Caenorhabditis elegans: one gene and its partners. The protein of the gene in region 2 interacts with the protein of the main gene of each other region in a biochemical or structural test. Each region holds a gene or a part of one and is shown on either strand. Other genes may lie near its edges. The genes, in order: flp-4, npr-1, flp-14 and flp-34.

Evidence for each region.
Region 1: of the proteins of npr-1 (region 2) and flp-4, one has a biochemical effect on the other in vitro, tested with the Caenorhabditis elegans proteins (one study listed by BioGRID).
Region 3: of the proteins of npr-1 (region 2) and flp-14, one has a biochemical effect on the other in vitro, tested with the Caenorhabditis elegans proteins (one study listed by BioGRID).
Region 4: of the proteins of npr-1 (region 2) and flp-34, one has a biochemical effect on the other in vitro, tested with the Caenorhabditis elegans proteins (one study listed by BioGRID).

The regions. Positions count from the first base shown.
Region 1 is NC_003280.10:10,046,601-10,055,052, forward strand, and holds the start of flp-4 (FMRF-Like Peptide), read left to right. Parts: upstream 1-2,267; 5' UTR 2,268-2,451; intron 2,452-8,024; 5' UTR 8,025-8,038; coding exon 8,039-8,188; intron 8,189-8,239; coding exon 8,240-8,295; intron 8,296-8,452.
Region 2 is NC_003284.9:4,766,535-4,772,528, reverse strand, and holds npr-1 (Neuropeptide receptor npr-1), read left to right. Parts: upstream 1-2,543; 5' UTR 2,544-2,554; coding exon 2,555-2,728; intron 2,729-3,164; coding exon 3,165-3,309; intron 3,310-3,358; coding exon 3,359-3,546; intron 3,547-3,605; coding exon 3,606-3,857; intron 3,858-3,907; coding exon 3,908-3,969; intron 3,970-4,014; coding exon 4,015-4,179; intron 4,180-4,783; coding exon 4,784-4,894; intron 4,895-4,943; coding exon 4,944-5,159; intron 5,160-5,204; coding exon 5,205-5,265; 3' UTR 5,266-5,377; downstream 5,378-5,994. UniProt on the Caenorhabditis elegans protein: G-protein coupled receptor for FARP(FMRFamide related peptide) neuropeptides. Activated by FARP neuropeptides flp-18 and flp-21. Plays a role in modulating social and feeding behavior.
Region 3 is NC_003281.10:12,908,683-12,915,862, reverse strand, and holds flp-14 (KHEYLRF-amide 4), read right to left. Parts: upstream 5,354-7,180; 5' UTR 5,352-5,353; coding exon 5,220-5,351; intron 4,270-5,219; coding exon 4,146-4,269; intron 2,430-4,145; coding exon 2,300-2,429; intron 1,169-2,299; coding exon 1,123-1,168; 3' UTR 933-1,122; downstream 1-932. Other genes in the region: Y37D8A.16 (MARVEL domain-containing protein), read left to right, coding at 435-566.
Region 4 is NC_003283.11:1,027,261-1,035,567, forward strand, and holds flp-34 (FMRF-Like Peptide), read right to left. Parts: upstream 6,145-8,307; 5' UTR 6,126-6,144; coding exon 6,070-6,125; intron 4,393-6,069; exon of another isoform or gene 4,325-4,392; coding exon of another isoform or gene 4,269-4,324; intron 2,563-4,268; coding exon 2,446-2,562; intron 1,976-2,445; coding exon 1,910-1,975; intron 1,309-1,909; coding exon 1,246-1,308; intron 902-1,245; coding exon 886-901; 3' UTR 634-885; downstream 1-633.

The DNA of each region.
Region 1 (8,452 bases), on a different chromosome or scaffold from region 2:
AATGCCTCTTGTTGAGGCCGACAGGTTTCACGCATATGCCAGGCTCTGAAATCGAGCCGGCTTACTATGGAAACTCTAGGATTCCCTTGATATGCATATTTATTCTTTTAAACTTGAGCTCAACGTTTGGCATTCATGAGATCCCTATTCATTCTCCAGATTTCCAATTTCGCAGTCACCTCTTCCTTATTTTTCATCTACCAAACAACCTCTGGTCTCGTCTACGTAGTAAGCCGAATCGCGTGTTAGAGCTAAAATAATTGTGCATTTTGAATTTGCATTAACACGATTAAATTTTAACCTGCCAATGGATACCAGGAATTCATTTAGCAGCACAAACATCGAAATCCTCCCCCTCCTTATGCAAAGTCTTATATCCAAGTACAGTAGACTCAGAATTCCAACTATATCTTTATCTCCATAAATTGCCGAGCTGGAACGGAGCAAGAACGAACACTTTTTGAACCTTCTCTCTCCCTATTCACAAATACAAACATATCTTCCTTTTCCCAAAATTTTCATACTTCCTGCCACGAAATGATGTAGCTATATATATGAAGTTTGGGTTTCCCTATAAATAAAATAGAAATATAGTGAAAACATAGTGGCAAATGATATTGAATATGCTATAGACTTGGTAGAACACATTGAGTAGTTTGATGACTCGGACGTGAATAAGTAATTTGAAAAAAATAGCTTCCGCTGACTAAGCCCCTTTTAGAATTGCACAGCATTCTTTCAGATTTTCAATAATTTAATAATTTAAAATGACGATTTCGTCTTGTTTTGCACTACTTGTAGTATTTATAGTGCTTCCCAAATATCTTGAAATGTGTAATTGAAAGCCTGCGGGTTTAATAGAAAATTAAGCAGCATTTTTCTTTTTTTGTAGATGCTTTTCAATTTTTTTGGATTTTGTGGAGATGTTATGTTCTTTAATATTTATTCAAAAAAGGAGACAACTGGTAAAGTTAAATTTTTGCATCAAAACTTTTCCGAATAGATCTGTGGTCTTTTTTGGTAAATTGCCGAGTTTTGGAAAATTATAAAATTACCAAAGTTATTAGAAAAATAGTCCAATACGAACAATTTTTTTGATTTTTCATGCCCCAATCCGGAGCCCACACAAATACTTTTGAACTACATAACCATTTCCTCAATTTCCCCACGTACAAGTGGTTGCAAATTGTGCATTTCCTTCTCCTCCGAGCAGAAGATTGTTTGGATGAGTTGTCTGGATTATTTTTGGATCAGGAGCAATTTTCTGTTTATTAAAGAAAAGCGCAGAAAATAACACGAAAAAAAAGGCTTGATTTCTTGGTTCTTATTTTGTGCATGTTTTAGCGAAATTGCAAAATGTTGACCGATCTGATTTTCATAATTAGGAAAATGTTAAGACTTACTTATCTTTAGTGATTTCCCGAGACCTACGGATTCGGATTTTATTTTTGCAAAAAAGGAAAGTAAAATGAATAATTTCAATAATTCATTTAACTGTCTTTAAAAAATTTGAGCACTTGTTCCAATATTAAAAGTGTTCTATCATTTGCGGGGTTCCCAAAAAATCCTGCTATTGTTTTTTGTGGGATTTAAACTTTTTCAGCTCTTCAAATCAATAGGCTATTGGTGCATATATTGTCTTCTGACGTTTTTTTTCAGTTTCTATATAAAATTTTTGTACTTCCTTCTAATTTGACAGAATAATTCTAAAATCACATATTTGAACTGTGGGCGCTGAATTTTTTTGAAGAGCATGAATTTGAACCCGCAGCGACGGGTCTTTATTTTACAATACAGACGTTTTCCAAAGTTTCCCGGTTTTCCCCGAATATTCCAAAAGTTTCTAGAGTTTCTAGAAGGTTCTCAACCTTTCCTAAATTTTCTAAAATAAATTCGAAAGCCAACATCTACGCAAGATAATTTTTCAGTCGAACTACGGTAGTTTTCAATCAACTTTATCTAAAAATAGCCGAAAACCCCCATTACCTCCTAGTTTGGTATTCCAAAAGATCAAACTTATTGGGGTAGTTGGACCCCCATCCATCTTTTGGCACGTTTCATTCCCGAAGTTCCGTCATAAATTCGATGTCCCCCTCCACCTAATCATTGATTCGTCATGCCTTGTCAGACAAAACCCACGTCTTCAGCTTTTTGGTCGTACCACAATTTTTTCTCCAATGATTCCATCATCATTCCTCATTCCCCAGCTCGTAAAGAACTCAATAAAACTGTCCTCTTCTTCCTCAACCCATTCCTACTTATTCTACATATATTCCAACTTCCAGTGTCCATTCCATTCTCCTTTTTTGTGCTGTCTCCTTATTCTGTTTCCTTTTTTCCCCTATTCAACATCATTCCAGTCACATTCATTTGATTGCGCACTAGGCTCCGCCTGCTCACGCCTTTCTTCGCAAATTCATATTTGGATCTCAATATTTCCGCAAAAAATTGGTAGGTTTTTTTTCGCTTTGACATCAATAGATCTAGTTGACGTGAAAAGCAAACTGGCAAAAATGTTCTTTGAAATTCATGAAATTTGACAAAAAGTTTTGGTCTAACAGCAGTATCTTGAGGCCACAATGGAGCATAACCAGAAAACGTGGTGTATCTGACTGTTTTTTTTTCTGGAAAATCTTCAATTTTTTCGAGGAACTTCTTGAAGATTGTTGTTGTTTGGTTTAGTCTACGTGACCATTTGTAGCTGCCATAGTTATTTTCATTTTTCGTTTCAGAAATCGGAAATTGGTTTTGCTTGAAAACTAGCGAAAAGTGGGCGTCAAACGATTATTACTAAACACATATTGTTGATTAACTTCTAGAGTTTTTATTGGAGTATTTGACGTTAGCCATTGCAACGTCATTCATACAAGTATTTATATAAGACAATGTACATTTTTTCGTTCATAATTTTCTTGAGGTATGTCTAGTGTCTAGTGTATCAAATTTCTAGATATGTATTGTGGATCTAAATTTAGGGTATCTCCAAAGAGTTATACAAGGTTGTTTTCCAAATTAGCACCTCTAAATAATCGAACCTACATGATTTGAAATTGCTTTAAAAAAATTTTTTGTTTGAAAATTTACCAGTTTTTCAAAACATTTACTAAACATTTATTCAATACAGTAATGCATTTCAAAGCTTTTTATGACTTGAAAAAGCTATAGAGTACATAAATCTAAGCCCAAAAAAAAAACCGCAGACTTGTTTTTTATAAATTTAAAAAATCTTGAATTCAAAACACGTGTTCAATTTTGGCTTCTTACATGTATTGTTTTTAATAAATGTTCCGATGAAATCTGCAAGCCGATTTACTAGACTTACAAGAATAATTTCTGACTATTCATTGTTAATCTATAATCTTCTTATCATGTTACATATTATCTAGTTAGTCATTTTCTTGTCTTGTTCTGTTTTCAATTTCACTCATTTGCTCTCATATTTCTTTTTCCTGAATTGAACCTTGGACGCTCAAAAGCTAATCGAAGAAAAATTGCCGAGATTCGGGAATTTTGATTGATGTTGTCGAATTAGTTGTTGCTTGTTCGAAAGTGACAACATCAGACAAAAACACACACGGATTTTGAATTATTACCTATCCATGTTCCTTTGATTTTCTATTAAATTGTCCTTTAAGGTTTCAAAAATGTTCGGAAAACGTAGGTGTAACCTGAAGAGTTAGGAGGAACGTCTATTTATGGTCCATCCAAAAATAGTTGTTGTTATTCAATTTGCGGCACCGAATCTTCAGATATTCGAAAGTTAAGAAAAACAAGAAGTTAGCTTTTAGGACTGAAAGACAGCTTCCTGCAAAAATGTTCTTCTTTTTATGGAAACTTGAGAGCCAAGTTCAAAAGATGAAAAGTTAAGTGGGCGTCTTATTTGTGTGGGCAAAAGAAACTGTAAATACATTTTTAGATTTAGTATATATGCAGGACTACTTTTCTTTCTTGTTATAGTTCTTGTATAGCATCGTCGTATGCACGCACGTCTTCAGGAGTATGTTTTGTATTCATGTTTTTACAACTTTGGCAGTAGTCATGACATATTTCCAAGGAACGTAGGTTACCTTGAAGGCAGGCAGAATATTTTCAGCATAACATGGAAGATTTAAGTTGTTGTTGAATTACGTAGACAACAAAATAACATTTTGAGAGTTCTTTCTTTGCTAATTGTATTTACGTCTCCTATAAAAATTGAGCATAGAATAAGATCATTCGTTCAGATTTTCATGCTTCTTGGATCGACTTATAAGTGTACCTTTATATTACGGGCTACAGTAAAATTTCCTTCTTTTTAATTCAAAATCTTCATTCAAACATCTAGCTGCTACACAACAGGGGTGTGAATCAAGGGCTCGAAAACTGGAAATGCCTGATAAATATTTTGCAAATTTTAATATTCCGATTTGGAAGTCGCGTAGTAAAATGGTTTTCAAGGAGCTTCGAGGTCTTCAAATGTTCTTTTTTTTTAGAATTTCAAGCTTTCACGCACTTGATTTACACTCCTGCTCCCTGACTCCATGACTGTTTGATGAGCTCTTTTGAACTTTAGTGGTTTCTGGCTTCTTCAATAGTCCAGACGTAATAAAAAGTGTCCTTCTTTAGAAAATTAAAAGTTGGAATACTTTCCTTAAAACTATGGGAGAAACTTCTCTTACTCTGAGAATTAAGAAACTGTTTATCACTATTTAAAATTCCAGTTGAAGCATCGTGATCACAAAACTCAGAGCTTTACCACAAATCCAGAAAACAGAAAAGAGTTCTTGAAAATTATAAAATCTTTACGTGGGAATCTGAATACGTAGAGAGCTCTGGAAATTTACTTCCAGATAGGAATTTCTATCATTACACCGGGAAAAATATATCAAAGAACCACCATATTTTTTTATAAAACTCTTCAAAATGTAGTACGTGACTGTAGCCCAACTACTCAATTAATTCCAATTGCGTCATTTTTCCAAAAAGGCATTTCTCAAAATTTTCTCAGGATTTTCCTTTTCAATCCATCATATTTTCCAATTATTCTCAGATCAAACCACGCACCATGACAATTTTTCCACATTTTCCAATCCAATTTTTAATCAAACTGATTCTGATAACTCATATCACACCTAATAAAGTAATTCTACACCACGAGTTTGTACGCACAAATCTACAAATTGTGACCAATATCCAGTGAATTTCTTAGTATTTTTGCATGCATTTTTAAGCACCTCCAACTGTTCTTCACATTTCTTATTATTCCGTTCTTTTTCTTTTTTCTCTGCTGGGACACATTTTCAGCGCCGTGTGACGTCATATAATTCATTGAAATTTTAGAGTTTCAATGTGGTATTAGAATTAAATGTATTTTTGCTGTACAAAGAATATTCATTTTCAAAATACTTATTAGGTTTCATTATGCCACACTACCTGACTGATCATCTGTTACAGTTACCTATGTGATGAGTTTTCGTGATAGAAAATCCGGAAAAAGACACGGATGTGATTTTTGACTATGCTTAATCCTGAGAGACATCCATTATCGCAAACAATAGAACCTAAAAGAAAAATTAGAGTTTAAGATAAATGTTAAGGTTATTCAAAAAATAGACTTTTGATCTTATTTGAAATGGCATGCGGAAGAAACTATGAATGAACGAAGTTTATGACAAAGATCTGAATCCTACGCAGTACGATAATTTTCCTGAACGAAAAACAGTAGAAAGCTTTCAAATGAAGAACATCCAAGCACATACTGTTCGCGTTATTTTACTTTGAAATGATCTCTAAAGGCCCCCAAAATGCTTACCTGCGTGCCTCTTGGACATTTTGTGATAGTTTCGATGATATGTATTTTTGTGCCTATGAATAGGCTAGGTGATAGATTTCCTTGTTTTAAGACAAACACTTCCAGCAAGCTTTTGAAACTAGACTAAACTTATCACAATTCTAATTTTATTCCTAAGATCGCATTGTCAATTCACTTTCCGAAGATCATCTCGTCCATTAAAAGATTATTCTTTTTCACAGTGTAACCTAAACCTTGATTCATTAAAACATGAAAATGTAAGCAATAGATTAATATTAATCCTAATCTTAGACTAAAGTCTGATATGTGTCGTAATAATACCCCTTTGGTATTTAGTTAAGGTTTTTTGAACTGAAGGTTTAAGTATAAATACCTAAGAAATCCACTCTTACAACATTAGTTTCAGCTTTTGAATTTGGCAAAGTGGTGAGTTCAACTTTTGACTCTGTCTTATTCATTAGAAGTTTTATTCTCCATTTTGAAAATCTATCAGCTTCTGAAATCTTATCAAAATCACTGAATTCCAGCAATTATGGAGATCAATTGACAATCTACATACATGAATAGGTAGGCATTTTTTGCCTACACTCAACAAAGTTTATGACCACGTTCGAGACAGTAAATAGGTGATTTACTAATTGAAGTTAACCCGTCACTACCGTAACCCTAGAGACCAATAGATATAGACACAAACTAAAAACCAAAGGATTATATTTCATTGAAAACCAAAACGTCTGTAATAATTTCTTTAGACACATAAAAGAAGCTCGACTAAAAAATATTAGTTATTTTAGAAGCTTAAGTCTATAATTAATCCCTTCCGAGGAGGTTAATGTGAGTTTGAAGTTTTAATAAGGATCTTTTATAAATTCGTATTGTTTACAAACTTATAATTTTTGATCCATCGGATAACAGAACATGGATTCAACGCATAATATCTGAAATTGACAAGTTTGAAAAATTTGGCTGGCTCTAAAGATTTAGTTCTGGTGTTTTTTCCAGCTATCCTTTAAGCTTCAGAAATTTGTTTGGAGAACCATTGATTTTTGTTTAAATTTCATAGAACTACTTCTAACGGACCACCAGCATAATTTTGAACCCTTGACGTCAGACCACACCCACATTTCCTTCTTTTCCAACAGAAATTATGCAAAATTTGAAAGTTCAAGAGACTTCACCACTCAAATGCTCATATCGGGTGTCCAATCAGCTCGTATAATGTTCAGAATAGTTCTCATGTTTCATTACTTATTATAAAAAAGGTCTTTCGGTCTTTCACTTCTTACGTGGGGGCTCAATGTCTTCCAGGAATCGGGCGCACCGGTCTTGATGTTCTCCGAGATATTTCTTTGCATTATTGATACGTTTTTTTAAATTTTCTTTCTTCTCTCTTTGACGTGCGTTTTTGTGTCATTGGATATTTAAATAAAATATTACGATTAGCCAATAAATAGTATTTACCGTATTTTTAATTAGTCCCAGGGTGAACAGTATAAGAGAATAATTGAAAACTTTTTAATCAACTCAATGATAATTTAGAATAATCCCGATCAATTTTCAATCTCCAACCTTTTCCGAAAACTATTCCACACGCCTCATTGCAGATGTTTTTTTTTGAGAATTGAACCAAAATGTCTAGATAACAAAAATCAGCTTGCACAGGAAATATTTAGCACGTCAAAGTTTTCAAAAATTACGTCAAAATGTTGAAGATGCGTCAGTTGAGAAACATTGGTGATTGAGTTTTTGAATAAAAGGCTTGAAGTTTGTGAAAACGGATGTGCGTTTTTGTTTTTTAGGAAACCTATCACTTTTAGACACCAGTGAAATGTTATTTCCTCTATTTTTGGAGAATTATTGAAGTACAATTGTTTCATGGTATTTTCCAACTGAACGTCAATTTTTTTTTAAACAGGTAAACCAGAAATGCCAAAAAAGCAACCAAAAAAAGTGTTCGAATTTCGTTTTCAGGCGAAACAAAAATTAAAAAATTTTGAGCTGGGTGCGGCCAAACTTTGGGCAATCCCGGTTTATTCACCCTTTGTTTAAGTTAATATTGATAAATTACTTGTCCTCTAATTTTTTAATCCAACCATTATCAACGTCACACTGACTCCACCCCTTTATCAATTGTTCTCCGTTTCTTTTAAAAGCACCTGCTCAACCTTTTCGTCGCATAATTTTCCGCTTCAAGCTCCCCCTTCCCCTTCTTCATTATTTCTGCAATTTTCAGACAACTACAGCGACATGAACGCCTTCTCCTCTTCCCTTAAAACATTCATCTTCTCCTTGCTTTTTGCCACGTTGCTTGCACTCACAGCAGCTCATCCACCGTCATCTGGTGAAGAAATTGCTGAGCAAGAAGAGAAGAATATTGCAAGTCCAGATGAACTTATTGTAAGATTTTTAAAAATTGAGAAAAGTTATAAAAATAAATGAATGTTTCAGCCGGAAATTGTCGAGCAGCAAAACTTCTGGCCACCAGTGCATCTTCGTGGATTACGGTAAGTAGAAAAATTGCCTTGCGCCTAGTCTTCACATTTTTTTAAATTATAAGATATAAGTTCAAAACGAAACATTCTGAAACGCTGTGTAAATTAATTTTCAAATTCAATATGCTTACTTGTCAAACGTAAAGCTCTCATGGTAGGCAGGTTCCTC
Region 2 (5,994 bases):
ATCATTTTTAATAAAAATGTTTGGAAGATACAAATTATCATAACTTGTATTTCAGTTTTACACTTCACAAAGAGTCGTGCGTGGGTCCGGAAAATACCTCATTTCCGTTTTGATGTCTATTCTTGGCGAAAAATATTCATCTGTATATTTTTTAACTTTTTGGTGCAAAATTTGAATTTCGAAGAAGTTTTTTTGAAGAAGTTTTTCCCTACGTAGTTGATAAACTCGGAATGTGTGACTGTGGCCATTGAATAACCCTACTAATTTCTTGTAAAATTTCTGCAATTGTTGGATGTTAAAGGAGGAGGAAAGGTTTGGATTGTCATAAACGTACACACTAAAAATGTGCCCAAATGAACGACTCAAAAAATGTTGCAATATTTTTTGTGGTAGTTTGAAATTTTGAAAAAAAATACAGCTAATTTTAGTGGAATTTTTGAATTTTGCCTACTTTTCTGTAGCACAGCTGTTGGATATGAACTGTTAGTCAATTACCATACTTTATTGCATGGTGACTTTTTCAAACATTTAAATAATCATGAAACATTTTTGAGCAGTATCTAATAAATTTGATCATTTCAGCTATTTTTGAGTTCATATTTTCAATATATCCCAAACTGTTATTCCCATTTTAAACAACCAATAGGCCTTTTGAGAAATTATGAATATACATCTTACGGTTAGTTTGAAATACGTGCAGCTTTAGCATGATACCAACAAAACAGGGCACAATGTGCACACCGCGAATCAAAAATTCTTTCGTGATGCGCCAATAGTGCTCGGACCTCAATGTGTTCATAATGCTCATTGAGTTTGTGAAAAGCACTTAATTTTCTCGGTCTCATGCAACTAAATCTCTCAGTAAAAGGAAATAGTTCTGAATAGTCTCCTTAATTTCAAAGAACAAATATTTCTTAATGATGTTTTGATTTTCGAGGATAGATAATATATTGCAAAATGATTTAGTTTTAATTTCTGAAAACTTTGAACTTTATTCATAACAATTACAATGACAACTACTTGAACTTTAAATTGAATTTATGAAAGCATGAAAACAAATTTTCCTTATTAGTAACTAGTTTGAAAAATAAGTTCGTTAGCCTAGTTGTTAAAAAAAATATAATAATAGGATTTTTTTCATTGAATGTTCCAATTTGATGCATTATTCTCCTTGAAAATGAATTGTGATTTGAACGTCGCCCGATCCAATTGTAGCTCAACTTTAAAAAAATCTGGCTTCAGAGAATTTCGAGATTAAATTTAATCAGTTTATCCAAAACTCAATCAGCCTCTGGGTTTGTGTTGTTTTGATTGATATCAAAAATTTAATCTCAACCCACACATGATCAAAACCATTGTCACTTTTTTTTATTTCCTACTTAAAAATTCAATTTCCGTTGTTTAACGAAAATAGAGTTGGAAAACAATTGCGGAATTTTTGAAACCTGTTTCAGTAAATTTTCCCCACATATTCTTTTTCTCTTTTTTCTCAGGTATTCATCTTTTCGGCCCTCGATCCCTTTTTCATTAACGTGAACATGTCAACCATTTTTCGGCTTCATCACACAACTCCCTCTCACATCATTCCTGTTTTTGCTCTCATTTCACATTTAGCAAATTTCAACGCAATTTTTTTCTGGTTTCCGTCTAAGATATTCGTCACATAGATCAGTGCTGTTTTTTTGACACAGGGTTTAGAAATTTTGAACCTTGGTTTACCAATATCTTGTTTCTATCCATTTATTACTAGGTAGTTGTTGAACCATACGGAAAAAATAAAAAATTTTCCACTTGTCAAAGCGATAGATGACATCCTGTGCTTCCAGTATCTATAATTCTGTAATGAATCTCTGTCATTTGTAATCTGTATCAATTCGCAGGTGTATTCCGCCAAAAATATACATTCTGAAAGCTCAAGATGGTTTTAAGGTCTCCGATCTTACAATGTGGTTGAACTACCTAATTAGACTTACCCTATTTTTTAAAAGTATTGCACCTATACTGCCTTATCACCCAGATGCAAAATATTGCCATTTCACAGCTTAACTAAACCTGATCTTAACACGACAAGTTTTTTTTGTCAACTGAAAACATTTGCACCTTTAAAAAATACTGTATATTGAAACTTATAAAATTTTTGTAGACTCGTAAGAAAACCTATGAAAAGACCACCAAAACTCATCAACGAGAAATGAAAAGTACAGTAATCTTTATAAGTGCACACAATCTTTATAAGTTGCATTTTAAAATTTTGTCGTATTGTCTAGACCGGGAACCTGTTAGTGGGCCAAGAAATAGTATAATTTTGGGGTTTTTAAAGATGTGAGTACGAAATATTTAATTTCTATAAGCCATAAGCCATGCTAAAAAAACCCTAAAAATTTGCTTACATGAGAAGAAAGAATTATACTCAGCCAAATCTCTAATCACTTTCTGGAAACTATAGGATTTTATTTTTTATCTATTAATCTATTTGGTTAACACCCTCTTTCATCTTTGTTTCCTCAATTTTTCTTTCCTCCATTAGACTAAAAAAATTTCAGACATAGGCCAAATGGAAGTTGAAAATTTTACCGACTGTCAAGTATATTGGAAAGTGTATCCAGATCCTTCTCAAAGTATATATGCGATAGTGCCATTTCTGACCGTGTACCTTTTTCTCTTTTTTCTTGGACTCTTTGGAAATGTGACCTTGATTTACGTAACTTGCAGCCATAAAGCTTTACTGGTACGTTTCGTTTTTTTTTCGGGTCAAATTTTGTTCTGTTTTGGAAAATTGACAATTTCGGGTTCTCTGAACAATTTGATTCGAAGTGCATAGTGCGTACAGCTTACTGACACCCGGCTAACGAGAGACGAGGTTATCCATGTCTACTTGAAAAGTGACGTACATATTTGGCAAAAAAAAAAAACACTCTTATAATTCTATATAACCAAATATCATAATAAACGTTTCACAACTAGAAAAAAAAATTTTATAGACAGTCAAACTGAGTAATTACCACTTCTTGAAAGAATTTTTCCAAAAACGAACCAAATACGTGATGGAACATCACAAAAATGTTTTTAACATTTTTTGAAGCGGATCAAGATTTTTACTCTGACTAGTCCAATCAAAAATCCCAGAACCTTCACTTCTCCTGTGAATTATCATTAAATTTCAGAGCGTTCAAAACATATTCATTCTGAACCTGGCGGCGAGCGATTGCATGATGTGCATATTATCGCTTCCAATCACTCCAATCACAAATGTGTACAAAAACTGGTACTTTGGAAATCTACTCTGCCATTTGATACCATGCATTCAAGGTATTTTTTCTAAAACAAGAAGTTTTTTAAAATGACGTTTTTTTTTCAGGTATCAGCATTTTCGTATGCACATTCAGTCTCGGTGCGATTGCTTTGGATCGGTATATCCTTGTAGTAAGACCACATTCTACACCACTATCCCAAAGAGGAGCATTTCTTACTACTGTTCTATTGTGGATCCTCTCTTTTGTTGTAACTCTACCCTATGCGTTCAATATGCAAATGATTGAATACACAGTGAGTGTCGTTTTTTTCTAGGTATTCAACTTCTTATACAACTAGTACCCTCGTTTCAGGAAGAGAGAATATGCGGCTACTTTTGCACTGAAAAGTGGGAATCTGCCAAGTCTAGAAGAGCCTACACAATGATCGTGATGCTCGCCCAATTCGTGGTCCCATTCGCTGTCATGGCCTTCTGCTATGCAAATATTGTTTCGGTGCTCAGCAAGCGTGCTCAGACAAAGATACGCAAAATGGTGGAGAGAACAAGCGCGTTGGAGAGCTCTTGCGCATTCCCGTCGCATGGTCTTGAACAGTATGAAAATGAGGTAGTTTTATTGATTTTCAAATTAAAAATTCACATTTGATTTCGTTCCAGTTGAACGAATTTCTAGACAAACAGGAAAAGGAGAAACAACGAGTTGTACTTCAGAACAGAAGGTATTAAATGCAAGGTTTCTAACCGAAATACTATTTGTGTTTTAGAACAACGTCAATCCTAGTTACCATGGTTGTCTGGTTTGGGATAACTTGGCTGCCACATAACGTCATTTCTTTGATTATTGAATATGATGACACACAATCGTTTTTCCGACTTTATGGCAGAGATGATTACGATATCAGTTATTTACTGAACCTTTTCACTCACAGGTTTGATTTTAACCAAGAACGAACGGTTTTGACCATTCTGAACGTATAAACCCAAACATGCCTCAAATGAACAAATTTCAAAATAAAACTTCTCAAAATTTTTTTATGCCGGTTCATTTTTTGGAAAAAGACCTGGGTTTAGCTAAAATATTCAATTTCTGTCACTTTTCCGCAGCTGTCGAAAGTTGACTTTTTTTAAAATTATCGTCCTTTATCGCATATTTTAATAGTTTATCTCACTTTTTTCGATCATTAAGGTATTTTTTAAGCCAATAAGTAACAAAAAATGAACAAAATCGGCTACCTATTGGATTGAAAGATACCTTAATCAACGAAATAACGTGAAATAAAAGCTACAAATGGCACAAATGATGATTATTCAAATAAAGCCAGTTTCTGACCGCTGTGAGTCGGGAAAGTGGCTAAAGTTGCGGATTTAGCTGAAATTAACGTTTTGGCCCAAAACGTTTTGAGAAGTTTCATTACGAAATTCGTTCAATTGAGCACATTTTGTGACTATATGTTCAAAATACCCAAAACCGGATCCCTCCTTTGAATTCAATTTTTTTCATGTTTTTGCAAATATTAATTTTAACGTTTCTAGTATTGCCATGTCGAACAATGTTTTAAACCCGGTACTCTATGCGTGGCTGAACCCAAGTTTCCGTCAACTGGTCATAAAGACATATTTTGGAGACCGGCGTAAAAGTGACAGGTTTGTTGTCAATTTCGAAAACGCGTTGTAATTGTGCTTTGTCTTCCAGAATAATCAATCAAACATCAGTTTACAAAACAAAGATCGTGCATGATACGAAGCACTTGAATGGAAGAGCCAAAATTGGCGGTGGTGGTAGCCACGAGGCGTTGAAGGAGAGGGAGCTGAACTCGTGTTCGGAAAATTTAAGCTATCATGTGAACGGTCATACGAGGACTCCTACACCGGAAGTTCAGTTGAATGAAGTTTCAAGTCCTGAAATAAGGTAGAACGTGAATTTGAAATCGTAATTAAAATTTTGATTTTTTAGTAAACTTGTTGCTGAGCCGGAAGAATTGATCGAGTTCAGCGTCAACGACACGCTAGTCTGATTGTTTTCTGACATATCCTTTTTTCGTTGATTTCGCAACTATCATCACTTTCATCCTTGCTGAAATAGTTTTTATGATCTTTTTTTTGAATAAATAATACATAGGATGCATATATATCTATAAGTGTTTTCATGACGTACACATACGAAAATTGATGATATGTGGTCTCGTAGACTAAACGATCATCTCGTGTTCTACAAACGAATGATTCAAAGCAAAGTGCTTCAGAAGACTAGAAGGTAGGGAATTAAACACGAAATTATTATGCAAAAAGAAGAGTTCAAATATTGAACATGTGGTAAAACAAAACGCTATGCAATATTTTGGAGTTTTGAAAATTTCAGACAAACTGCCGAATTTTTCGGAAATCGGGAATTTTGCTGAAAAATTTCTGAGCCATCATTCGCCGGAATTGCCAATCGAAAAATGATTTACAGAACACTAAACAAGGTGTAATAATTCGTTTTCAGAATAAGATTAAATTTAAAAGTTGCTAAAAATTGTCAGCAATCTGCAATTGCGGAAATTTCAGCAATTGCCGAAAATGTTAATTTCCGAGTATTTTTGATTGCCGTGCACACTTTACTTTTTACAAAATTAAAATACCAACAATTGAATACATGTTTGTTTCTTTTTAAAATAACAAATCTCAAAAACTGATTAATTACCATTTTGTTACTGTAAATAAATTTTTAATAAATTTTTTAAGCTGCAATTTTTTTTAAATAT
Region 3 (7,180 bases), on a different chromosome or scaffold from region 2:
CTAATGGTTTTTGACGGGTTAAACCTAGATTTTCTGAATTGTCCATATACGATTTACCCGTTTTCAACAAATTTAGGCAACTTTTTATTTTTGCCCATTTTCATTTTTCTGCCATCTAACGGCTGTCCTTTTTTTTGGGGAAAAAAATAATTTTTCTGAAAATGTACAAATTAAAACCGCTACATTCTGAAAAAGGGCATTTTTTAAGTGTTCGGAGAGCAATGTTGAGTCCTCTAACTACAAAATTGCCCATTTTAGAAAAGTTTCAAAATCGTGCAATTTTTCAAAAACTTCTGTCAGCTTTTGCCAACTTTCGCAAACGTTTGCCTGCTTTTACCAAAAGTTACCAACTTTTGCCAAACTTTGCTAAATTTTGCCAAACTTCGCGAACTCTTGCCAAATTTAACAAACTTTTCAAAATTAATTTCTTACAGGCAATGGCTGGACTCAACGTTGGATGCTTCCTCGGCATCGCTGCCATTTTCGTTGCAAATCTTGTCAACGATAAGATTCTACAGCGCTCGCAAAAGTTCAATAAATACGATCGTGGAGTTTACGTGCAGTAATTCGGCAGAAGTCTTGGGATTTTTTATTGCTCATTTTCATGTAAATTTCTAATACGATCTACTTATATTTATTCTTTTTTTTTTGTTCCATTTATCTCGAAGGGATCTTATAATTGCGTTTTTGTTCATTTTTTGGAATTATTGACAAAAATTCTAATAAAAAATTTACCGTACATTTTAAAAAATTCGAAGTGTTTTTTTTTCTGAGCATTCCAGCAAAACTTGTCAAAAAATCCAGATTCCCAGAAATTTCTACAAGACCCAGAAGTTTGCTTTCTTTAAATCGTTTTTAAAGTGGTTCATCGTGAACCTTGTTTAATGTCGGTTGCGCACTTATCTTCCTCTGACTTCTAGAAAATAACTCTTAACCAACGACAAGATTTATTACAATTTCTTCTTTCGACAATGCTGAGAGGGAGAGAGAAAAGAGATAGAGAGAAAAATATAGAAAAAAAAATCTTTCAAAAAAAAATGGTGTACTGTAGTTCCGTCTTTTTCTTCTTTTATTTGTATGGTTTTCAAAGATGTTTCTTCGATGATAGTAGATATTCCCTTCTTATTTGCGTCCGAAACGCAAGTATTCGTGCTTTCTCTTTCCGAATCTGAAAAAAATAGGGGAAATTTGATGGAACACAATTTCCTTTAGAGACATCGTGTGACATTTGATTTAGAAACAAACAAAAAGAACACCGAATTTGAGTCGAAAATTCAATTTTTGAAGTTTAATAGTGTTACGGAAAAGTGCGAAGATCAGAGCTTGTTCTCTCCGTTAAATTGTGCTCGAAAAATCACGGATTTCTGGCTTCCCTCATAAATTGAAATGGAAGAGTTTGCCAAACTAGGCCATTTTGGCTCGGTCATAGCTGGGGTAGATTTACGGCGCATTGCGTGTCGCGTCGCGGCTTGATTTTAGTTGTAAATCTAAATCACTTGTCCGTGTGGAGTACACGACTTTCCCACGCGTTGTCCGGCAGGCGATTGTCAATGGAGCGCGAAAAATGCAATGAGGAAGGCCTGAACCCCGTGAAAGTGGGAAAAAAAATTCGCGCATAAAATTCGATGCACAGACATCATATTTTACGCGCAAGTTTGTTACACGATTTTTCAGCCACAAATACAGGTCTCGACGCGACAAATTTTTCGTTAAATTCGAAAAGGTGTGCGACTTTGATTTTCATCGATTTTTCAAAGTTTTTCTATCATTTCCTCGAGAATTTGTCCGTATTATTTTTGTGTAAATAAATAATATTTTGCAGGACACTACAGTAATCTTTATAGGCTTTTGAATTCCTTCTGTATTAAAAAAAAACAAGCAAATTCGTGTAGAGACCTGAGAAGTATTACGGTGACGCAAAAATGACAATTTTTCGAAAAAAAAGTGCAATTGCGCTCCAAACGCTGCCATAATTTGGGTCTCGTTAAGAAAATTGGTTCCAAAAATTTCCTGGGTGTATTCATTTGTACGTTGGAGCGTATTTGCCCCCATCTAACAGTTGCAGCTTTTTGCGGCGCCATAATAACATCTGCCTACTACTGCCTGCCTATTGCCTGCTTATTGTCTTCCTACTCCCTGTCTGCCTACTGCCTGCCTACTGATTGCCTACTGCCTGTCTATTCCCTGCCTGCCTATTGCCTGCTTATTGTCTACCTACTCTCTGTCTGCCTACTGCCTGCCTACACCCTGCCTACTGTCTTCCTACTGCCTGCCTTACAACTAAAAAAAAATCACAAACCTCAAGTACTCGTGCTTCCTTTTTCCAAATCTGAGATACTCGTGCTTTCTCTTTCCGAATCGGAGGTATTCGTGCTTGCGCTTCTCCATGTCATTGTCTCCCTCGTTGGTCTCCTCCTCGAGAGCCAATCCTGCAACAACGTTTCCCATTGGGATCAGACCTCAAAGCAAGAGCACAACCATCATTAAGAATTTAAAAAGAATTTGGCGCTTTACATTTTAAAAGTCAGGGGCTTTTTCAAGAAAATGGCGGAACGTGATTGATAGTCTAGGCTTTCGGCTGGGTCACCGGAGGCTTATTTGATGCAGAGAAAATGAAGTTTGACTCATGCAGCTGGCAAATCGGATGTCTACTGTCTGCCTGCCTACTGCCTAGTTCCTGCCTACTGCCTAGTTTCTGCTTTCAGCCTACCTACTGCCTACCTACCAGGCCTGCCGGATTTTCTGCTTTTTTTTTTGAAATAATTTTGCTTTAAAAAAACCGAAAAATCGAAAAAACAAATTTCGGCGGCGCCCCTGTTTCCTACTTCTGCATACTGCCTGCTACTGCCTACTTACTGTCTGCCTACTGCCTGCTGCCTGCCTGCCTACTGCCAATTTTCGTTTTTCAGATTCCAATTTTACGGTATTTCCATTTTTCGGTTTTGCTAAGACAGAAAACCAAAAAAACTGGATAAGGCACCCCTGCTGCCTACTGCCTGTCTACTACCTGCCTACTGCCTACCTACTGCCTACCTACCAGGCCTGCCGGATTTTCGGTGTTTTTTAAAGAAAAAATTCGTTTTTCGGTTTTGCTAAAAAAAAACCAAAGGGAAAAAACTGGCAAAGGCACCCCTTCTGCCAACTGCTTGCCTACTGCTTGCCTACTGCCTACCTACAGCCTGCATACTACCTGCCTACTGCATGCCTACTGCCTACTGTCTACCTACTAGGCTTGCCGGTTTTCCTGTTTTCCGGTTTTGCTAAGACAGAAAACCAAATAAACTGGCATAGGCACCCCTGCTACCTACTGCCTGCCTACTGCCTGCCTACTGCCTGCCTGCTGCCAACTTTCGTTTTTCAGATTCCCATTTTACGGTTTTTCGATTTTTCGATTTTGCTATAAAACAACCAAAAAAAAACTGGCATAGGCACCCCTGCTGCCTACTGCCTGTCTACTGCCTGCTTACTGCCTACCTAGTATTTGCCTACTACCTGCCTACTGCATGCCTACTGCCTAGTTCCTGCCTTCAGCCTACCTACTGCCTACCTGGCCTGCCGGATTTTCTGTTTTTTTTTTTTTAATTTTCGTTTTTCGGTTTTGCTAAAAAAAAAACAGAAAAATCGAAAAAACAAATTTCGGCGGTGCCTCTGTTTCCTACTACCCGCCTACTGCCTTCCTACTGCCTGCCTGCTGCCTGCCGGATTTTCGGTTTATTTGAAAAAATTGTTGTTTTTCTGTTATGCTCAAAAAACCAAAAAAACCTGGCATAGGCACCTCTGCTGCCTACTGCCTGTCTACTGCCTGCCTACTATCTACCTACTATCTGCCTACTGCCTGCCTACTGCCAACTTTCGTTTTTCAGACTCCAATTTTACGGTATTCCGATTTTTCGGTTTTGCCCAAAAAAACCGAAAAACCTGGCAAAGGCACCCCTTCTGCCTACTGCCTGCCGACTGCCTACCTACTGCCTGCCTATTGCCTACCTACCAGGGCTGCCGGATCTTCGGTTTTTTTTTAAATTTTTTGTTTTTCTGTTATGCTCAAAAACAACCGAAAAATCGAAAAAAAAATTTTCGGCGGTGCCCCTGTTTCCTACTGCCTGCCTCTTGCCTGCCTACTGCCTACCTACTACCTGCCTACTTACCGTGAGTCTGAACGAGACGTTCAACTCCCTCCGAAACGAGAGCTCCGAGCTGAGCAAGAAGCATGCTGCTCTCGCTTAATTGGCACAAAAGCGCCTCTTGTTGATCGCCGTTGTTGGCCAGAATCTGGAAAATGTGTTTTTTTACAGTAGTACGTTTTTCAAACCCAGTGATTATTCCGGAACAAAATCCTTGGGAAAAGCACGAAAATTACATGGTTTCAAAAAAAAAACCAACCGGAAGCCTTGTAATTATAGGTTCAGATTTTTGTCGAGGACTACGGTGAGATGAAGCCCGTATTTGACAGCTCATATCTCGGCTATCTTTAGCTTTATCAAAAAGTTGTTAACTAGAAAAATATAGGTTTTTTCTTTTTCTGCAACTTTATAGTTTAAAAAATTTTGCTATCTATAAAATGAACCGAGTTATGATCTACCAAAGTGGAGTTCTAAAAAAACTTTGATCTACTACTTTCCAACCCCACAAAAAAACACATTCAAATCAAACAGAGAATAGTATGATCAGGTTAGAATCATCTAGATTAACTATGAAAAAGAAAATAGATTTTTTTTCTATTCATCGCAAGTTGTTTAATCTTTATTGTGCATCCAATCCTCCCCCGAAAAATGAGCAGAAATTGTGATCTTATTAAGTTTACTACAACCGAAACGTCATGAGGATCAAAAGAATATCATATTTATCAAATTTTTTGTCCAGAAAATGTGACGGCAGCACGTTCTTAACCATGCGAAATCAGTTAAGAAGTCTGCGTCTAAGTTCCCGCGATTCTCGTAGATCTGCGTAGATCAAACCAATACACAGTAGTCATTAGTTTTCGCTGCGTGATATTTTGCGCGTCAAATATGTTGCGCAGTACGCATTCTCAGAATTTTGAGAACCATGGGATGTATGACGTCACGCAGGCCCTAACTTAGTTTTCGAAAAACTTTTCCAAAATGCACTAAACTATCTCATTATAACTTCCACTTGCAGTTTTGAAAAAAAAAACTTTTTTAAACCCAATTATAAACATGACTTTAAACTTCTTAGAACAAAATGGTTTTTTTTTGACTCACCGCTTGACAATCCTTCGGATTGTGTGGAGCCTGTGCGGCTCCAGAAGCTCCGGCTCCAGCCGGTGCCTCCTGGCCACTGGCGGCCACGACGAACGCGGAGAGCAGAAGCGCGGTGGGCAGGCAGATCATCATATGAAGAGAGCTCTCAGTTGGAGCCAGAGGAGACTTCAAAATGGGCGGAGCTCGGTGTTGAAAGTGAAATGTTGTGGGCGTGGCTTGGTAGAGCTCGAGGAGAAGAAAAAAAAATGAAACAAAATTCAAGAGTACGGTAGCACTAAAAATTTTACGAAAAAAAAAACAAATACTAATTAGCCGAGGGGATGGGGTCCCCGGATTAGCAGGATTTCGCTAAAATTTTCCGGGAAAATTGGAAAAGAGAAAACACCTCAAACATCTGAGAATCTGCCCCGGAAGTAATAAAAAATAAAAAAAACCAAAAAAAATGTATCGGAGGTTCCGTAAGGAGGCCCAGGGGCATATTGAGTTAAGTGACAGAGGAGGTCAATGTTTGAACAGAGCAGATGTATTGATAGGTCAGGCTAGGCAAGTCTAGGAGTCTAGTGAAGAGTAGGCAAGGCTAGGTGAGCCTAGGCTAGGTGAGGCTAGGCTAGGCTAGGCTAGGACAGACTAGGTTAGGTTAGGCTAGACTCGGTAAGAATAGGACAAATTAAGCTAGGCCAGGTTAGGCAGGCGATGGATAAGTTAGGTAAGGCTAGGCCAGGCTAGGCTAAGCTAGGCAGGGATAGGTGAGGGTAGGCTTGGCTAGGCTTGACTAGGTTTGGCTAGGCTTGGCTAGGCTTGGCAAGACTGGGAAGTTAGATTAAGCTAGGCCCGGCTAGGTAGACATAGGATAAGATAGGTAAGATAAGGTTGGACTAGGTTAGTTAAGGGTATACTAAGCTAGGCTAGGCTAGGCTAGGTGAGGCTAGACTAGGTAGGCGTAGGATACGTTATGTAAGGTTGGCTAGGCTAGGCAAGACTGGGATTCTAGGCAAGGTTAGCCAAGCTGGGAGTCTAGGCTAAAATATGCTTGGCTAGGCTGGGCTAGGCCAGCCTAGACCAGCCTAGACCAGCCTAGGCTTTGCTCAAACTATTCCCAAATTAAACGTTCAGAACAAAAAAGGAAGTATAGAACCATCGCTTAATGTTGTTTTCGTGCAATTCTCCACGTGGTGCTCCGTTTTTTTTTCTTCTAAAATTTGTGTGTGCTCGTTAAGTGTTTTCTTTTCTTTTTTCACTCGAAAGAGGCTGCTCTAATTGGTCTGACTTTGTGAAAAATTGTAACTTCCAGAACAAAATAACACATTTGTCTTTTTTTGAATTGCCGCATAGTGACATAACTTGGGTCTCGTTAGGTTTTTGGCGACAAAATCGTAAATTCAAACTTTTTTATATCTCCTGATTTCGTTAATTTTTCTAATTTTTTCAGTGTGTTTTAATGTTTTTTGTGACGAAAAAAATCAAAAAATCAAAAAATCGAAAAAAATCATTAAAAATAACGAATAATAGCTAAAACGACCAAATTCCTAATGAGACCCATTTTATGAAGACGGAGCGTTCCGAGAGAGTTGGGAACATCGGCCATGACCGCGACGGAGCTTCAAAAAATTTGCGGAAATGATGCACAGGCTTCTAGCCTTCCTCATCGATTTTTTCGCGCTCCATTGACAATCGGCCGCCGGGAAAGTCGTGTGAACTCCACACGGACATTTAGTTTTACAATCGAGCCGCGACGCGACACGCAACGCGCCGTAAATCTACCCCAGATATGGCCGAGCCAAAATGGCCTAGTTCGGCAAACTCTTCCATTTCAATTTATGAGGGAAGCCAGAAATCCGTGGCCTTGGCCGCGGCCTAGGTTCTCAGTAAACTCTGCCATTTCAAGATATGAGGGACTCTGAAAGCCCGTGAAGAAGGGCCAATTTTAGGTAGTAAATAGGCTTCTTAAGCCCACGCATTCT
Region 4 (8,307 bases), on a different chromosome or scaffold from region 2:
GTTTCACAACTTTTTATTTGTTTGCTCGGACATTATTTCCTTCTCTGATAAGACCATTTCAGTATTGGTCACTGCTTTGATAAGGGGTTTCTTGTCGGAAATACATAGATCTGTCTCAAAGTTCTTAACTTTTTTCGAAGTGGACTCATTCGAAATTGTATTCATTTAATCTGACATCTGGCAAAAGTTTATTCTGAGGAAATTAAAATAAACATTTGAGATTGAGAATTCTGAATTCACTCGAAGCCTATGGCCTACGCCTATGACTTACGCCTATGGCAAACGCCTATGGCCTCCGCCTATGGCCTACGCCTACGGTCTACGCCTATGGCCTACGCCTATTACCTACGCCTATTACCTAAGCCTATGGCCTACGCCTATAGCAACCGTCTTTGACCAATGCCTATGGCCTACGCCTATGGCCTACGCCTATGGCCTACGCCTATGGCCTACGCCTATGGCCTACGCCTATGGCCTACGCCTATGACAAAAAAAAAGATCAAACTTCAATGTCCACAAATATCATATTCAAATCAAAAATTCAAACCAAAAAAAATTTTGGCGCACTAATATCCCGATTGTTTATTCGACCATTCTGTTCCCGCTCTTTTTAGATCAAATAAATTTCAAAACAACAGACTCACAAACTTTATTTGATTTTTTTTTGAGAAAGAAATAAAAAATAAAAACGAGTTGGGGGGACTGATTTGATACAAGACAGGAAGATGGTGAATGATGAAAAATTTGAATAAGCGAATTTTTGAATGAGGAAAATTTTTTAGAGAATAAATAAATTAATTAAATATCTGAAATAAAAACAAAACCTCGAGAGAGAAAATTTAGAAAAAAAAACGAGACGGCTACGGACGGGCTGACGTGATGGAATTATTTACGGCCAAATCTGAAAATAAAATGGATTATATTTTGTTTTAGGCCATAGACGTAGGTCATAGGCGTAGACCATAGGCGTAGGCCATATACGTAGGCCATATACGTAGGCCATAGGCGTAGGCCATAGGCGTAGGCCATAGGCGTAGGCCACAGGCGTAGGCCACAGGCGTAGGCCATATACGTAGGCCATATACGTAGGCCATAGGCGTAGGCCATAGGCGTAGGCCATAGGCGTAGGCCACAGGCGTAGGCCATAGGCGTAGGCCATAGGCGTAGGCCATAGGCGTAGGCCATAGGCGTAGGCCATAGGCGTAGGCCATAGGCGTAATCTCGAAAAATAAAATTAAAAATTACCGTAATCGTTCCGCATTATTGAGAGAAGCCACCAGGGAGTCTCTGTTCAGCGCACGTTTGATTCTGAAATAATTTTTAGTTTCAGGAGGATTTCCTCAAAAAATTTGAAAAATTTTCATCCCAATGACCCGACCAAACGCCACGACTTTCTGATTCCGAGAAAAATGTCCTTTTTTTTTCAAACTCTCTGCCAAATTTCTAATTATCTATTCAACCATTTGTCATTCGAATTGTACATTTTAAAATTGTATTTTGTTGAGAGGGTTTAAATCTTGAAAATTCGGAAACATCTTTTTATAGCTTTGAAGCTTAAGCGCCCCCACGTCATAAAACTCCTCCGCTAATCCACTTTCAATTAGTTCCAAATTTTGATCTACGTTCCAAAATGCAGGAACAAACAGGTGAAATTTTGATTAATCACTAATTTATTCTATATTTACTACTTCAAAATTTCACCTGCCTCCTAAATTTTGTTCTTCAATTTTCAGGCCTAGGCTAGGCTATAGGCCTAGGCCGGGCTATAGGCCTAGGCCAGGCTATAGGTCTAGGCTAGGCCATAGGTCTCGGCTAAGCTGTAGGTAACTGTAGGCCTAGAATATAGGTCTAGGCTATAGACCTAGGCTATAAGCCTGCCTAGGTTCTTTTACCCCAGTGAGAAACTCACAATGCGTACGGATAACGTCCTTCCGAGTAGAGGTACTGATCTTCCGATGATGGAATGATGACATTACTGAAAATCACAAATTTCTCATAGGCTACATTACTTTTATAATTGCAAAGTTCTTATTTCAAATGACGTGATGATTTCGAAGAAAAGTGGTGGGTTGTTGCTGGAGCAAACAAGTTTGTAAAGAGCATCTCCTTTTGCTAGACACAAATTTGAGATTTCCGGTCAAAACACACACTTTTATTGGATTTCGAAAGGTTGGAGTGCGTTGAAATTATTGAAAAATGTCACTCGGAAATTGAAAATGTTAAAAAAAACTTAAATTTTCAAGAAAAATGAACTGAAAAGATAGAAAAAGTGCACACTACGTACCGATCGCTGGGCTCCAAATTGTGGAAAAAGTTTAGAAATCGCATAGGTTTGAACCAGCGTCTAGAATTTTTTCCATGACCAACTAGTTTTCAAATTTCTGCGCGTCAAATCTGGTGTTCCTCGATGCACCATATCTTACGCGCAAATTTCCCAGTACTCACTTTTCTTCCCACATTGCGGGGTCCGATCGTTTGCCGTATCGAAGCCGTCCAGCATTATTGATAGCTGATGCAAATGTGGAAATGTCTGCTTTTTTCTCCAGTGGCAGGGATAGTACGCTGCAAAACTTTTTTATGTCGTGACACAGCTGAAACTATTGCTACAGTAATCCTTTTTACTTGAATATCATAACATAGTCTAAGTATACACGTGGTGTTAGAGTGTCCCATTTCGGCTTGATCTACGTAGATCTACAAAAAATGCGGGAGAAGAGACGCAGAGTTCTCAACTGATTTTGTATAGTTAAGGACGTGCTGACGTCACATTTTTCTGGGCAGAAAATTCCCGCATTTTTTGTAGATCAAACCGTAATGGGACAGCTTGACGCCACGTGAGTATACCGAATATAACTGTTTTAAAAAATTATATAATTTTTCCAAATTTTCGAGGATTTTTTATATACATTCTTAAAAAAGTTTACAGGGACTACGATTTTTTTTAATTCCAGCGCAAATGAACGGAAATTTGAAATTTTCAAATTTAAATTTAAACTACGCCCAGAAATGTATTAAAGGCGCATGCCCAAGTTTTGGTGGGTCTCGTCGCGATTTGTGAAATTTCAGTTTTTGATGCATCATGTTCGAAATTCAAAATGTATGAAATTTCTAAATAGGAAACAGGTTAAAACTTTAAAAAATTTTTAAAAAAATTTCAATTTTTAGAATTTTTGGTTCAACTATTAACAGTATTACTACATATCTGAATTTATCAAAAATTTGTTGATCCAAATCTAGATGGGGGATTAAGCCTAGTTTTTGATTGTTTTGAGATGCTTCCTTGTTGACTTTTTCACAATTTATTACTCATGAGCATTGACTAATACTCCAAATTAATCCCCTTTTGTTTCAGAATTACTTTTTTTTTGTGGATTTTCAAAAAAGATCATGAAAAAAATCCTACTTATCTCAATTTTGCCACGTCATTGAGAAAAGTTGAACTGCAATTTTTGGTCGAAAACATTTTTTTCAAACAGAAATTCACCTGCCATGATGTTTTGCGCAGACAAGCTAAATTTAGATTTCGAAAAGATTTAAATTTGAGTAAGTAACTGAGTAGTAAGTTCAAAAATTAGAAAACATCAAGTTTTTATAATTTTTAGATTTTTTAAAATTGTTCTGATTTTTTTCCAAAGTTATCCCAATTAATTTTGTGATTCTAAAAATTGTCTTAAACTGAAATGAACATAAGCTTATCCAAAAAATTAAAAAAAAAGCTCAGAAATTCAAACTTCGACCCAAAAAATTTTAACCAAATTTTGGATTTTTTTTTCTTTTTTCCAAAAATTCAAAAAAAAAACCTTATAACTTACAAATTAACACATATATTTAATGAGACTATAGTAATTTTTTTTTTGAAAAATATTGAGTTTTTTCTAATTATCCTAGATGATACTGCACCCTTAAAATAGTTTTTGAACAAAAATCATTAAAAAAATTTTTGCAAAATATTTTTGGCCCAACCAATGTATTAAGTTATAGATTTTGGTTCAGTTAAAGGTACTACAGTAATACTACAGTAATACTACAGTAATACACTATAGTAATGTTAAAATAATGTAGGATCACAGTAAACAGAAATATGGTCTCTTACCAAATTTTAAAACAAAATTTTCGTATTTAAAAAAATTCAAAAAATTCATAACCAACAACTTTCAAATTAAAAAAAATCATATAATAAAACTACCGTACTTTCAACAAAAAAAATCTACAGTACCATTCCCTACAGTACCCCTACAGTACCCCCACAGTACCCCCACAGTACCAACCTGTCAGTTAAAACCAAAGCAACAAAAATCAGAGCCATCAAAAATTGGAACTGCATGTTTTAGAAAATATGTTTAGTAGTGGAAAATGTGTGTGAGTGTATGTATCGGGTGTCGAAAACAGAATGAGCTTTCTCCCCCCTCTTGCTCGCCGAGCCAAAAGTGGGCGGCGCCTAATGGTGGGTGCTCCCAGGAAATGATGCCTGCCTTTCATCACATTCTTCTTTAATTTTTTCTTGTTGCCACGTCATCACACACAGCTACGGTATTTTTATATACTATACGATGAATCCATGACAATAATACGATTGTTTTACGACTTTTTGGGTGGTAAATTAGGTTTTAGGCTTAAAGCAGGAAGAAGCTAAACGGAAATGTGGTGCCAATTAAATGGAATGGTTTTAAACCGAAATTGGGTAACCGGATAGAATTTGTTAGCGGTTTTCGAGGAGGGAAATATGGAAAAACAGAAAAATATACACAGATATATACATGTATATATTTCAATTTTGAAAGCATCACCGCGTCACTTTTATTTGCGAAAAAACAAATTATTTTCCCTCTCTGCCAAAATTACAATTTCATAATTGGGTTCCTACGAGGGAGTGGGCTCAGGAATTTCTGAAATAGCTGAAATATTATAGTTTTGAAATTTCTAAAAATTTTAGCAATTCCGGCAATTTTTTTCGAAAATTTATACAGAAATATAGAAAAACATTTGTACTTTCTGATAATGGTATTACTTTTTTCTTTAAAAATTCAAAAAGCTGCTCAAAACCCACCTAAAAGTCAAAATGTGCCGATAGAGTCAGTGACCCTAGGTGCATTACGGCCGGCTTTGAGGCAGTTTTTCGGCAATTTCTCAAACATTTTAAATAAAGATAAAATTGTTTTCAGAAAGAACAGATATTTCTCTACATTTCTATATAATTTTCCAAAAAAATATTTTCAAAAAATTTTTTTGGATAAAAATGAGTTTTGTAAATGAGCCCCATCCCTCTGTTTGGAAATAAAAATAAAAATAAAAAGTAAATTTCCTCAATTTCAAATTTTCCAAAAATTGTTGATGCTATGCAATTTCCGACAGCAGGCACCTAATTGCCTGCCTGCCTTCAAAGCAAACCCCATGAAGAAACTTAATGGAAATGAAAATAGACAGAAATTAGCAAATATGCATTTTTATTGGAGGCGGCGGTAGGCAATAGGTAGGCACATAGGCAGGCAGGTCTCCTTCTAACGCGTCCACGAGAAAGATAAAACCCGTCCACATTTAAATTTCGAACAAGGTAATTTTTATCGACTTTTATATTTTTCTACGTCACATATAGTAATCTATATCGGTTTTACCTATAAAAATTGCGGGAAATTCATCGGTATGACGTCACTTGAATTTTACTGCGAGACCTTCCAAAAATACTATGTTTGCGAGTTTCGAAAGCCTAATTGCTTCCTCATATTTTTGAATACATTTTTTTCAAATGTAGTTTCATAATAAAAAAAGTGATTCTGCATAAATAAAATGTTGATCTAGTTATCAAAAAACCCTTCACCTGGTACAAATGAAATTTGATTCGTTTTTGCTTTTCAAAAACCAATTTTTGATCTAGTTTCATAGATTTTGACAACTTTTGTTTGCTAAAGAGCTCAGATTATTTGAAGAATTTTAGGAATATTGTACCAAAAAAAAGTTCAAGTACCTACCTGCTTGCCAAGGTTAAATTTTCTAGTTGTAAGCCTTTAGAATCTTCTTTAGAGCTTTGAAATGAACCATGTAATTGTCTTAAAAAATAATTAAAAAAATTACCTGACAGAAAGAAGAACTGTGAAGAAAATGAGCAATTCTGTGATCAAGCTGTGCATTTTTATTCTGCAACGGGGGTACCTGAAAGTAAAATTTTTAGAGATTGAGCTGAATTTCAAAGGAATTCAGCAAAAATTTCCGAGAAAATGAGAGTTTGAGGTGAAATGCGGCTGCTACGTGGCCTAGGAAATTGGAAACTCGGCCATGAGTATTTTTTTTAATTTAAAAACCTCGAGATTAGCATACAGTATTCATACTAGAGGCCGCAAAAAACAAAAAATATCAAAAATAAATTCCTGGCCGAATTTTCTAATTTTCGCGGCCACGTCTGGACCAGAGTCAGAAACTGCAAGATTCCTGTAAAAATTCGAATAATACACGTAAAATTGTGAAAACTCAGGAAATCCTTCAACAAGTCCGTCGTATTTCGGAATGAAAAATTCATTAGCACCGCATATTATTTGAGACACAAAGCGCAAAAAAAGGAAATTTCCGAATTCGAATACAAATTAATATTTAATTTTTTTATTCTTGTTGTTAGAGGGCATGATGTCAATGTATATGAGGAAATCTGTATAGAGAGAAAATAATTTAAAGGGCATGAGAACTTGATGCAAATCAAGCACGTGGTCTGCAAATTTCAAAATTTTCGGCAAAGTGCCGGTTTGCCGAATTTGCCGGAAATTTTCAATTCCAAAATTTTGCCGATTAGCCGACAATTTTCATTTCTGGCAAATTATCGGTTTGCCGAATTTGCCGGAAATTCTATATTCCGGCAATTTGCCGATTAACCGGAAATGTTAATTTTTGGCAAATCGCCGGTTTGTCGAATTTGTCGGAAATTTTCAACTCCGACCATTTTCCGGATTTCCGGCAATTTTTGTTTTTGGCAAATTGCCGGTTTGCCGAATTTGCCGGAAACTCGAAAAACGGCAAATTGCCGACTTTGCCGGTAAAAATATTTACCGCGCACCTCTGGTCTTAATACACTCATACATTCAGATTTTCAAATTTTCAAATGTTTGAGAATATTTCAGGTTTTTCAAAAATTTTATATAGACAAAGTTATTGGCAAAAAATCTAATTTTCCAAAAAAAAAGAGGGTTGACCTCCAAAATTGGCGAAAGGGGAAATTTAGTTTTCCCTTTTTTGACTTCAATTAAAAAAACTCAAAAAAAAATTCTACCGTAATTTCGGCTGAGTGTGACGTCAATTTTCTAAAATATTTCTTTACTACAGTTGACCATGGGAAAATGGAAATTTTGGAACTTTCGAGAAATAAAAATTGCCACGAAATTTCCTCGTACATATTTCATAATTAGCAGTGAGAATAAATGACGTTAGAGAACTAAAAATAATTTTGAGATCCCAAATATAGATTGTTGTGAGAACTACATTTGGGTAAACATATCGTTTTTAGGTAGAGTTTTTGTAAATTTTCAGAGATCCCATGAAAATTTGAAGACACAAGGCAAATTGACTGAAGTTTTGCACCGTTTATTTAGTTCACCATAAGGCCAAAACATTTTCTAATCAATTCCAAGTAACCAAAAAGGTTAATTAAAAAATTTCTAATCAATCAGAATCGTCTAAGCGTCATTCACCTGATTGATGAATTTGTTTTGGTATTGACAAATTAGAAAAAAGGTTAAGAACCAAAACTATCTAACAACAAAAAATTTCGTAAACTGGAAAACTGGGACTCGTTTTGGTTTAGAAATAGTTTAACAACTTTAGAAATTTCTAGGCCCTACAAGGTCCTGTGCAAATATAGTTGTTGTTTTTGGCATGCCTACGAAAGTACCTACGCCTGCTTTATGCCTACTTCAATACAAACCCTCCAGTTTACTGACAATTCACAAAATTAGAAAGTAGGTAGGCGTGCCTGCCTCCGCTGCCTAGCAGCTCTAGAGCCAACGTCGCTGATTGGTCGGTGTTTTTAGGGACATGAAAATTGAATAATTCCCTTTGAAATCGGGCTAGCTTGCATTCTGAGGAAATGTGTTTTTTTTTGGAAAACTCTAAAGATTTTTTGGATTACCGAAAAAAGAAGGTTTAAAGAATTTTCACCTAGACACAGGATTACTGTAAAGGCACAGTCACGTAAATAAGCATCAGACATACTAAATTCTAAAAAATTATTTGAAGCCGTCATGAGACGCCAAAAATAACATAAACTATTATTTACCAGACCACTTTTTGTGATACACTTTTCCATAAAAAATACGATTAGAAACCAGA